Cricetulus griseus: one gene and its partners. The protein of the gene in region 2 interacts with the protein of the main gene of each other region in a pairwise test. Links are inferred from orthologs where the notes say so. Each region holds a gene or a part of one and is shown on either strand. Other genes may lie near its edges.

The links.
Region 1: the proteins of Exosc5 (region 2) and Tnfaip1 interact in binary tests that used the Homo sapiens proteins (3 or more experiments, as listed by UniProt). The two-hybrid records come from large-scale screens. The link is inferred for Cricetulus griseus from reciprocal best matches to the Homo sapiens genes EXOSC5 and TNFAIP1.
Region 3: the proteins of Exosc5 (region 2) and Fcho1 interact in binary tests that used the Homo sapiens proteins (3 or more experiments, as listed by UniProt). The two-hybrid records come from large-scale screens. The link is inferred for Cricetulus griseus from reciprocal best matches to the Homo sapiens genes EXOSC5 and FCHO1.

Annotation. Positions count from the first base shown.
Region 1 is NC_048600.1:91,917,819-91,921,318, forward strand, and holds part of Tnfaip1 (BTB/POZ domain-containing adapter for CUL3-mediated RhoA degradation protein 2), read right to left. Parts: intron 2,845-3,500; coding exon 2,675-2,844; intron 2,297-2,674; coding exon 2,207-2,296; intron 2,131-2,206; coding exon 2,078-2,130; intron 1,342-2,077; coding exon 1,146-1,341; intron 1-1,145. UniProt on the Homo sapiens protein: Substrate-specific adapter of a BCR (BTB-CUL3-RBX1) E3 ubiquitin-protein ligase complex involved in regulation of cytoskeleton structure.
Region 2 is NC_048602.1:9,454,849-9,457,776, forward strand, and holds the end of Exosc5 (exosome complex component RRP46), read right to left. Parts: intron 2,636-2,928; coding exon 2,546-2,635; intron 806-2,545; coding exon 713-805; 3' UTR 501-712; downstream 1-500. UniProt on the Homo sapiens protein: Non-catalytic component of the RNA exosome complex which has 3'->5' exoribonuclease activity and participates in a multitude of cellular RNA processing and degradation events.
Region 3 is NW_023276806.1:248,082,613-248,086,112, reverse strand, and holds part of Fcho1 (F-BAR domain only protein 1), read left to right. Parts: intron 1-720; coding exon 721-819; intron 820-894; coding exon 895-991; intron 992-1,722; coding exon 1,723-1,767; intron 1,768-1,877; coding exon 1,878-1,950; intron 1,951-2,360; coding exon 2,361-2,385; intron 2,386-2,634; coding exon 2,635-2,692; intron 2,693-3,115; coding exon 3,116-3,294; intron 3,295-3,395; coding exon 3,396-3,420; intron 3,421-3,500. UniProt on the Homo sapiens protein: Functions in an early step of clathrin-mediated endocytosis. Has both a membrane binding/bending activity and the ability to recruit proteins essential to the formation of functional clathrin-coated pits.

The DNA.
Region 1 (3,500 bases), on a different chromosome or scaffold from region 2:
AACTGTAGCACATCTGTCACACTGAGCTGCTGTGCCTTCATCTCAAGTGGAGAGAAGGTTCTAGCTGGGCAAGTCTTCTAGCTGGGGTGTGGAGGGTTAGGGGAGCACACAGAAGAAGGAAGAGAGCACCAAGGAAGAAGACTGGCACTGCTACCTCTGCTGTTACTCAGGTCCTGAATCCTGACTCCACTTTCACAGCCTCTTGGCTAACTCCATGCCATCTTTGTCTCTACCCCCCACTGCCAAGAACTGCCACCTCATATAAGCTGTCCTTTGGACAGCCCTCAGCAGATCACTCAGCCTGAGGCAATGTGGCAGTCTGGGGCTAAGGCTCTTGGGTCTGGATGCTTGCGCCCTTTATTCCCCCTTTTTACCCAGTAAAACCCTGCCATCTCCAAGTATATATTCTAGGGAGGATACCTGCTGGTCTCTTCAGGAAGGGAGGAGATGAATCTACATAAATTGTCCCCTACCAAGTAATTCACACAGCTGATTATAGTTAACTATATCTGTAACCCTAGTCCTAGTGGGCTGAGGCAGGAGGAATGCCAGGTGTTTGTGGCTAACCTAGGTTATATAGCAAGCTCCAGCCTGGGCTTCTGTGACCCTGTTTCAAAAAGAAAAAGTAAAAATAAAAGTTGCCCTGTGCTCATCTGGCACATCTGGCTCATCTGTGATGTCATTCCATGGGCTCAGGAAGCCAGCTGGCCAGCCTGGCTGTAAGAGCAGTGTTGAAGTGGAAAGCTACACACCGTGCTGCTTTGGTACCCTTGCCATGTACTGGCTAGACTCAGACTCATTCCCATATCTTCAAGCAGGGAAACAGACCAATGGCTCCCCAAAGTCAGACAACTAGAAGTGGTGGGACTAGAACTGCAACCTGAGTTGTGACAACTTCAAAGACCTGGTCCTTCCATGGCACCAGAAGGTTGCTGGTCAGTGGGCTTCTTTTTCAGCAACTGTTAACAGCTTCTGACCATTCCCAAACCCCTTTGTTCTGACTCTGTCCTACCTGGCACCATCATACCATGGTTTGGAAAGTACACGTGGCCCTTTCGTTACTGTGGGAAGGGCGCATTGGAGCAATACCAGTCGTCAACCCTGGAGTCTGTGTGATCTGTCCCCTATCAGAGGAAAGATCATACCTTTGTCTGCTTCTTCTCTGTGGCATACACGATGGAGGTGCAGCACACCTCTGCCAGCTTGCGACCCTGGCCATAGAAAGACCAGCAGCAGATTTCATCACCAATGACATCCTTGATGAAGAGCACACGGCCATTGAATCGCAGGGACAGCTTGTCAAACAGCTCAATGTTTTTCAGCAGGTGATCATCAGAGTTGCTGAAAAAACCAAAGGGCCAGCAGGCCTGGAATGAGGTTCCAACAAGCAGGGCTGCCGGGACATTCTGGTTCTCCACGCTGCTCTGCCCACCCCTACCCTATCATGCTAAAGTGAAGACAAGGCAGAGGGACAGAGAGGCAGAAAGGAACCTGTAGGACTTGGGGCTTGTGAGGAAAGGGGGTGGAACTGGCTCTCGGTTCAGCAGAGAGCACTGAGAGAAAGAAGTAACCCCTCATAAGCGTGGAAGGAAGGGCCCCTCTCTGTTACTTCAGTATACTGTTCTTTTGCTGTGGGCTGATGCAGGGTTCACAGGGGACCAGGAGAGTCTAGATCCATGTCTGCAGCCACCTGGGTCTACCTAACCATAGCCTGTTATGGGGACACAGTGAGGAACACCAGCTTCAGGAAGACTCCGTCCATGACTTCCTAGCACCTCTCTTCATCCACTAAAGCAATGGGGATTAAAATCCCTGGCACGTTACAGGCATGATTAACATTTTATCATTTATATCCCAACCAGGATTATATAACAAATCCCAAATGCCTCTGTCCTGAGTTCCCTTCCATCTCTGTTCATTGCCCTTAGCAAAGGTGGTTTCAAAACCCAGCCCCATGTTACGTGTGTTGGGAATCTGTGAAGTCCCTTGAGCCACTGCCCACGCCTGCTCTGGTTGCTCAGCCCTTTGGCTGCATTTGCCGCCCTCCCCAGCGCCCTAGCAGAGATGCCTGCCATACCTGGTGTATGAATACTTGTTATTGCTCCTGTTGTATAGCAGCTTCACCACAGGCTGTGGGAGAAGATGGAGTAAGGGTTAGGCCAGGAGCCTGGTGTCCCCAGACCAAGGTCCTAAGAGTGCCCAGTACCTTTGTGGAGGATTCGATGAGCCTGTCCTCTTCTCTCAGCGATGTGATGATGGGGATGTTACACACAGGCTGGTAGGAGTCTTTCTTGTCCTGGGTGACACACAGAGCAGAGAGCTGCCTTTAGGATCTTGTACCCCTCCAGGCCTTGCCACAGTCACCCCCTGCCTGGTAAGGAGGTACCAGACGGACCATGATGTTCTTGGTAATAGACATTGCCAGTTAGTAAGATCTCCACTGCCAGAAAATATGAAGCTCGGATATCTAAGTGAATGAACTAGGGGCACAGCCTGCTTGTGCTACCAAATGTGAGTATCTAGCAGCCGTTTGCTCGGGCCTGGGAGCACCCCATTGTTCTATTTGGGTTTGGACTCATCAACCTCATTTCCAATACAGCTTTCCAGGAGCCAAACCTAATGTCCCCAGAGGAACAATTCCCAACCTCATTAGGTCACCCAATTCTTCCCATACCTGCAGGGCAGACTGGCACATGTTCACTAGCCCCTGAATGAGGTAATATTTTGCTTCAGCCATCAATTCCTGGATTTCTTGCCGGTTTTGAGGGAGGGTGATGGTGTCATCTCGGAGGTAATTCAAGATGGTTCCAAAGTGCTTCCCACATCTGTCTATGAGGATCCAGCCTAGGAATTTAGAGGGATCCCATAGGATTACTGTTAGCCTCCAGCTGTGTTTTACTGTTTGCCTTCAGGCAAACGCCACCTGAAGAGAGGCAGCAGGCAGCAGGATGCAAGGAAAGGAGCTCCGTGAGAGAGTGCAGAGCCCAGACCAGGGGTGGCAGAGATTTGGCCTCAGGTCGGTGCTGCTTTTCCCTATCCTGAGTCCAGGAACTCTGTGCCCCCGAGAAGAGAGAGGTCTTCAGGGGTCTGTGCAGGACTGGATGTCTAAGCTTGGGGGAACTCAGGTCAGCCCAGTAATACAGAAACCACCAGTCTCTGCTTACTTTTGCCCACTGCCCAGGCTCTACTGTGTTTATGACGATTTTATTTGGATACCTATACATATCTCAGCCTTTTGGATGGTTTTTTGTTTTTCAAGGCAGGGTTTTTTATGTAGCCCTGGTTGTCCTGGAAAACACTTTGTAGACCAGGCTGGCTTTGAACTCACAGAGATCCACCTTCCTCTGACTCTTTGAGTGCTGGGATTAGAGGTGTGTGCCACCATGACTGGCCCATATGTCACCTTTTGAAACAGTCTTGCTGAATTGTCTGGGTTAGCCTCAGATTTGAGATTGAACTGCCTCAAACTGAGTGTTGGGATTACACGCCTGTGCCGGCAT
Region 2 (2,928 bases):
GAGGCCAGAAGAGGAAGTCTGATGCCCAACAGCTGGAGTTACAGGTGGTCATGAGTTAGTTGCCTGATCCGAATGCTGGGAACTGAACTCGGGTCTTCTGGAAGAGCAACAAGCACTCTTAACTGCTGAGCCCTCTCCAGATCACTTTTTTTTTTTTTTTTTTCGAGACAGGGTTTCTCTGTGTAGCTTTGAAGTCTATCTTGGCACTCAATCTGGAGACCAGGCTGGCCCCGAACTCACAGAGATTAAAGGCGTGTGCCACCAACGCCCGGCCAGATCACCTTCCTTAAATAAATAAATAAATAAATAAATAAATAAATAAATAACAGTCTTGGGTAGCCCAAGTTGGCCTCGCTCTACCAGGCGGTTGGACTGTTGGCACATACCACCACGCCTCTCTCTCACATTGGGACATGGACCTGGGTCTCGTTCAGTGTCAGCTTCTCCACACCCAGCAGGCCTACGGAACCGGGCACTTGCCAGACATCACGATCACTGGCTGCTGACTTACTCACTCAACACAGCTGAGTGCCCTTTAATGGTGTCCTGGTGATGGGAGGGTTGTGCCCAGGCCTGGAAATGTCCCTGAGCCCCTCCTGCTATAGGACTGGAAGCCACATGGGCACAGAGAGAGGTAGAGTGGGGGTGCTGGCGTGTGGCAGCTGGAGGCGGTGGGCGTGGTGGCGGGAGGGGTGACTTGCTCTGGCTTGTCTCAGCTCTTGGAGTAGCGCCTCTGCAGTGATTCTCGGTAGAAACGGAAGATGTGTTCTGAGGCAGCCTGGGCAGCAGCCAGGCACTGCTGGAGCTGGGGAGGGAGAAGCAAGTTAGCGCCCAGGGTGACCACTCCCCACCACAACGGCTATTTCCTTCTCTACCACCTCCTGACTCCCACCCCAGAAAGGCGGTGGTGATGCATACCTGCGATGAGACAGACACAGAATGGCCCTGAGTAATCCTCCTGCCTCAGTCTACCAAGTACACCACCACCCCTGCTTTTTATTCGGCACTGGGGATGGAACCCAGGGTCTTGTGCAACCTAGAAAAAACTCTCTGCCAATAAAAGCCACATCCTCAGGCCCTCTAAGTTTGCTTCCTCTTTTTAGTATGTAATTTACAGTGTGCGTGCCTGTTAGTGTGCGCACACACCTGTGCACACGCATGCCCTGTGCAGATTAGAGGACAACTTGGCTCTCTCCTCTCACACGTTGGTCCTGGGGACGAAGTTAGGTGGTTAGGCTTGGCAGCAAGTCTTTAATTTCAGAATTGTCTTCCCAGCCTGGAAGTTTTATTTTATTTTATTTTTTTTCCCCTGACACTGGGCTTCTCTGTGTAGCCCAGGCTGACCTCGAACTCACAGAGATCGCCTGCCTCTGCCTCCTGAGTGCTGGGATTAAAGGCGTGCGCCACCAACGCCCAGCTCACCTCTCCCTTTTTTTTTTTTTTAAGATTTTATTTATTTATTATGTATACAATATTCTTCTTCCATGTATATCTGCACACCAGAGGAGGGCACTCGTTACGGATGATTGTGAGCCACCGTGTGGTTGCTGGGAATTGAACTCAGGACCTCTGGAAGAGCAGTCGGTGCTCTTAACCTCTGAGCCATCTCTCTAGCCCCTCACCTCTCCCTTTTTTGAGACAAGTTTTTACTATATAGTCTGGGCTGGCCTGGAGCTCACAGCAGTCTTGCCTGCCTCAGCTTCTGAAGTGCTCTGATCACAGCTGTAAGCCACCGTGCCCAATCCAAATAAATGGAAGAGCCATGAAACTAGAGATTTAAATCTTTACAGCAGCCAGGTGGTTCTCTGTGAGTTCGAGGCCAGCCTGGTCTCCAGAGTGAGTTTCAGGGCAGCTAGGGCTACACAGAGAAACGCTATCTCAAAAAACCAAAATCTTGACCACCATCAACAGGGCCAGAGAAGAAATATAGGTACGGACCAAGTTTCCAAACCATGTCCCTTGGTAACTCAAAATCCTAGATGGCACTGTTCTGTGCTGAAGACTGGGGACCTTAAAGATACATGTACCACCTCATCCAAAGCTGAACCCTGCTTCCTGATCCTGTCACTCAGGCATTCTTTTAAAATTGATAGAGAAACCTTCTCTTTTGGTTTTTTGCTTGTTAAGACAGGATTTCACAATGTTACCCTGGCTGGCTTAGAACTCTCCATGTAGACCAGGCTGGCCCTGAACTCAGCTATGCTTGCCTCTGTCTCCCAAGTGCTGGAGATTAAACTTGTGCCTTGAAACCTTGTGCGTGCCAGGCAAGCACTTTAAGAACTAAGCCCCAGCCGGGCTGTGGTGGCGCACACCTTTAGTCCCGGCACTTGGGAGGCAGAGGCAGGCGGATCTCTGTGAGTTCCAGGACAGCTTATAAGCCACAGAGAAACCCTGTCTCGTAAAACAATACAAAACAAAAAAACTAAGCCCCGGACTCGTACCCACCCACCCAACAAGGACGTAAAGAAGAGCTCACTGTGAGCTGGGACAAGTTGTTATGCCAATGGGAGAGGTTTTGGATTGTGCCCCTACCCCCACACGGTACCTCGGCATCCGAATAGAGCCCTTTGGTGTTAGACATCAGCAGCTTCTGCTCCACGCTGTCCAGAGCAAAGGTCAGGATAGCCCGGGCCTCCTAGGAGCAAGAGGAGGAAGATATAAGTGCCCAGGGACCCTCGTCTTTAAGATCTCAGCCAGTCTCCAACAGGGGTGACCGGACCCTTAGCCTCTCGGTCAACCACAGTTGTCTGTCCACACACTATGCCACCCCTGGGCAAGCGTTTCCCTTCTTTGCTTTTTTATTCTGACCACAGTCATTCTGTCCCACAGGGGGAGCCACAGTGCTGGTCATTCTCTGCCTGCCTCTCCACCACCCACTCCCTCTTCCTAGCTCTGTACTACACAGGCAAGCCAGGGATCCGATCCCCA
Region 3 (3,500 bases), on a different chromosome or scaffold from region 2:
TCTAAGCACATTTCCAAGCATTCTGTACCTGTTCAAAGGTATTTTTCAGTCTGGGCCTAGCTTTTTGTGTGGCTGCATGAACCAAGCCTTAAACAGCCAGGCTACTAGCTGCTGTCTCCTCGCCGCTATGGTAGGAGGTAGGTCCAGCAGGCTGGTTCTGGGCAGAAGGTGCTGTTTGGCTTTGCTTGAGAGCTGAGCCTCATGCCTGAGCGCACAGGCTGAGACTGGCGTTACCAGACCCAGGTCTGGGGAGTTGGTGGTCCTTCACAGGTCTTTCTACCTAGTGTCCTGCCAGGTAGCTTCTTTGGTGGGTTCAGGGGAGTCAGGCATGGCTGGATCCAGGCGTTCCAATGGTGTCATGAGGATGTTGTCTCTCTGTGGCTGGTCGTTGGTTTCTAGGGACCTCGCTCCTTTGCTGACAGAGGGCATGCTGGGGTGTTTGTGTGTGTGCCTCTAATCTAGCAGGCCCATTTTTCCTTTTGATATAGGTCTCACTATGTAGACTAAGCTGGTTTCAAACTCATAGAGATCCTCCTGCCTCTGCAGTACTGGGGTCAAAGGCCATCATCCCACGTGGAGCGGAAAGGCTGGGGGCAGCAGCGTCTTTTTGAGTAGCAGCCAAAATCCAAAGGCAGAATCCCATTGGTGCTTCCCTAAGCCAGTGGGGGGTCTGGACTGATCTGATTGGTCAGCCCGGGTCACATGTCCCTCCCATCGCAGCGATTTCAGGCCATGGAGGAGTCGCACCTGCAGCACATGAAGGCCTTGCTGGGTTCCTATGCTCACTCAGTGGAGGACACCCATGTGCAGATCGGGCAGGTGAGGATGGGCCCCGCCCTCCTGTCCAGCCCCACAGAGGCCGTGCCCCTCATGCCCTCTCCACCCCCCACCCAGGTGCATGAGGAATTTAAGCAGAATGTGGAAAATGTGACTGTGGACATGCTCCTCAGGAAGTTTGCAGAGAGCAAGGGCACCGGCTGCGAAAAGCCTGGTGAGTGACCCTGGTGAGGGCCTCCCTGGCCCTTGGTTTCTTCTTTGGAAAAATAGAGTGGTGGCAGTTCTCTGTCCCCCACCCCATGTAGGGAAGGCATCTGATGGCTGATCTCACATAGTCCAGTCCTAGACACCAATCCCTAAAGGATCATGAAAGTTCAGCTTGGAAACTCCGCTGTTTCTCACTAAGTCTCAAGAGCTGAGGGAGCCATTGATGGTGTTGAGCTTAAGACGCCCTTGTTGAGAGCCAAAGTTTGATAGTCAGACTGAATTTGGGTCCTTTTTCCGTTGCTTGCTGTGTGACCTCAGTTGCATGTCTTGACTTTTTTTTTGTTTTTTTGGGACAGGGTTTCTCTGTGGCTTTGGAGCCTGTCCTGGAACTAGCTCTTGTAGACCAGGCTAGTCTCAAACTCACAGTGATCCACCTGCCTCTGCCTCCCGAGTGCTGGGATTAAAGGCGTGCGCACCCCCGCCTGGCTATGTCTTGACTTCTCTGAGCTTGCTTTCTCATTGATAAAGTGGAGACCACAATCCCCTAAATGCAGGCACACTTTGTTCAAAGACCCAGGTGACCAGGAAAGCTGTCCTTCTTGCTGTTTCTATGTTCAGTCAGCCAGGCCTGACATACCTAGGCCTTCCTCTCACACCCTCCGGCTCCTGTTGTGGAGCCCCGGTGTGCAACTGTGCAGCCCGCTTCTGCCCCTCAGACTTATTTCTTTTTTGCCCCAGGGCCTCTGGACTTTGATGCCTACAGCACAGCTGCCCTGCAGGAAGGCAAGTACGTCTGGGCCTGGATGCCCAGGCTAGACCAGGGTTTTGGAGAGGGATCTGAACAGAAAAGGGGAGAACCTTCTAGAGCTTAGTTGCCCTCCTTCTGTCAACAGCAATGAAGCGTCTCCGAGGAGCCAAGGCCTTCCGTCTTCCAGGACTGAGCCGGCGGGAGCCCCGTGCAGCTGTGTGAGGAAGTGCCCCACCCTAGCTTAGGCTAGCCCAAAATCCTGCCCCTTGTTCCAGCGAGCACAGAAACCCCCTATGGCACTTTCCCTATCTCAGACTGTCCCAGGACCACTTCTCCTGGGCTAGCCCAGAAAGATCTCTGTCCCATGCTAGCCCAAAAGAGCCACTCTCCCAAACTAGACTGGAATTCCTCCTTTTACCCAGGCTGGCCCAGAAGCTGCTTGGCCCATCATAACCTAGGTTGGCCATGATCCCTCCCTTTGCCAAGGCTAGCTATCTGTTGTACTGTTTGAGGCTTTGTCTGACTCTAGAAGCCACCCACATTCCCAGCCTATGGGCTAGCTTGGGGCAATATGGTGGGCATCCTTTCTGGGGACTCCAGCCACTAACCCCTGTTCCTCTGTCCCCAGGGACTTTCTGGAGTCTGATTCAGGGGTGAGTCCTGTGCCGGCAGGGCAATGGGTAGGCGGGACTTGATCTTCAAGGCCCCCGGGAAGAGGGGGCCAGAGGGGCCCAGGGTGGGGCTCCGAATCAGGTCTCACCTGTGTGGTCCCCGTGTGAGGGACTGGAAGCTCTACTGCATCTCAGTCCCCCTTGCATTTGCCTACAACCCTGGAATATATTCTGGTGGGAGCCTGGGTGGACAAGCCGAGGGGTCATTGGAGGGAACCTGACTCCCCCCAGGTGCCTCCAGAGGTGGATGAAGAAGGCTTCACTGTGCGTCCTGACGTGTCCCATAATAATATCCTTCCTTTCTGTGATTCCATGTCCCCCCGGAGAGTCCTACTGTGCACCAAGGAGCTCCAGGTGCAAGCCTTGTCCTGTGCACTTTCGATGGTAGACAGAGGGAGGGTTGAGAGCCAGGCGATGGTGACACACCTCTTTAATCCAGAGGCAGGCCATCTTAGAATGTAAACCAGCCTTTGAGTTCCTGGCTGATCAGGGCTATGCAGAGAGATCCCGTCTCAAAATAAAGGTGGACAAGACAGGTGGACTTTTATGGTGGGCTATCCAGGAAGGCTTCCTGGAGGAAGGGCATCAGTGTGGCTGAACAGAAGCTCCCCAGGTAGCTTCCTGAACATAAGAGGTCAAAACTCACCGTACAGGGCCTCCATGTCCGGGAGTGTGGTCAGATTCAAGACTTGACTCCTTGACAGAGGCCCACGCATGGCCGAGCCCCCTCGATTCTCCTCTAGTGACTCTGATTTTGATGATGAAGAGCCTAGAAAGTTCTACGTTCACATCAAGCCTGCCCCCACCCGCACTGTGACATGCAGCTCAGAGGCTGCAGCTGCCCAGCTCAGAGCCACAGCTGGCAGCCTCATCCTCCCCCCAGGCCCAGGGGTGAGCTGGGTGACTGGAACCAGGGGTGAGCTGGGAGGGGCACAGGGGCCAGCCGTCTGCAGCTGAGCCTCACATTGCTTGGTTTTTTGCTTTTTCCGAAGGGCACCATGAAACGTCACTCATCGAGTGAGTAGCCTGGTCCGTTTGGGTAGAAGGTGCCCTTGGAGGAGAAGCTGGGTCTGGGTGGCTGGAAATTGGGATTGGTT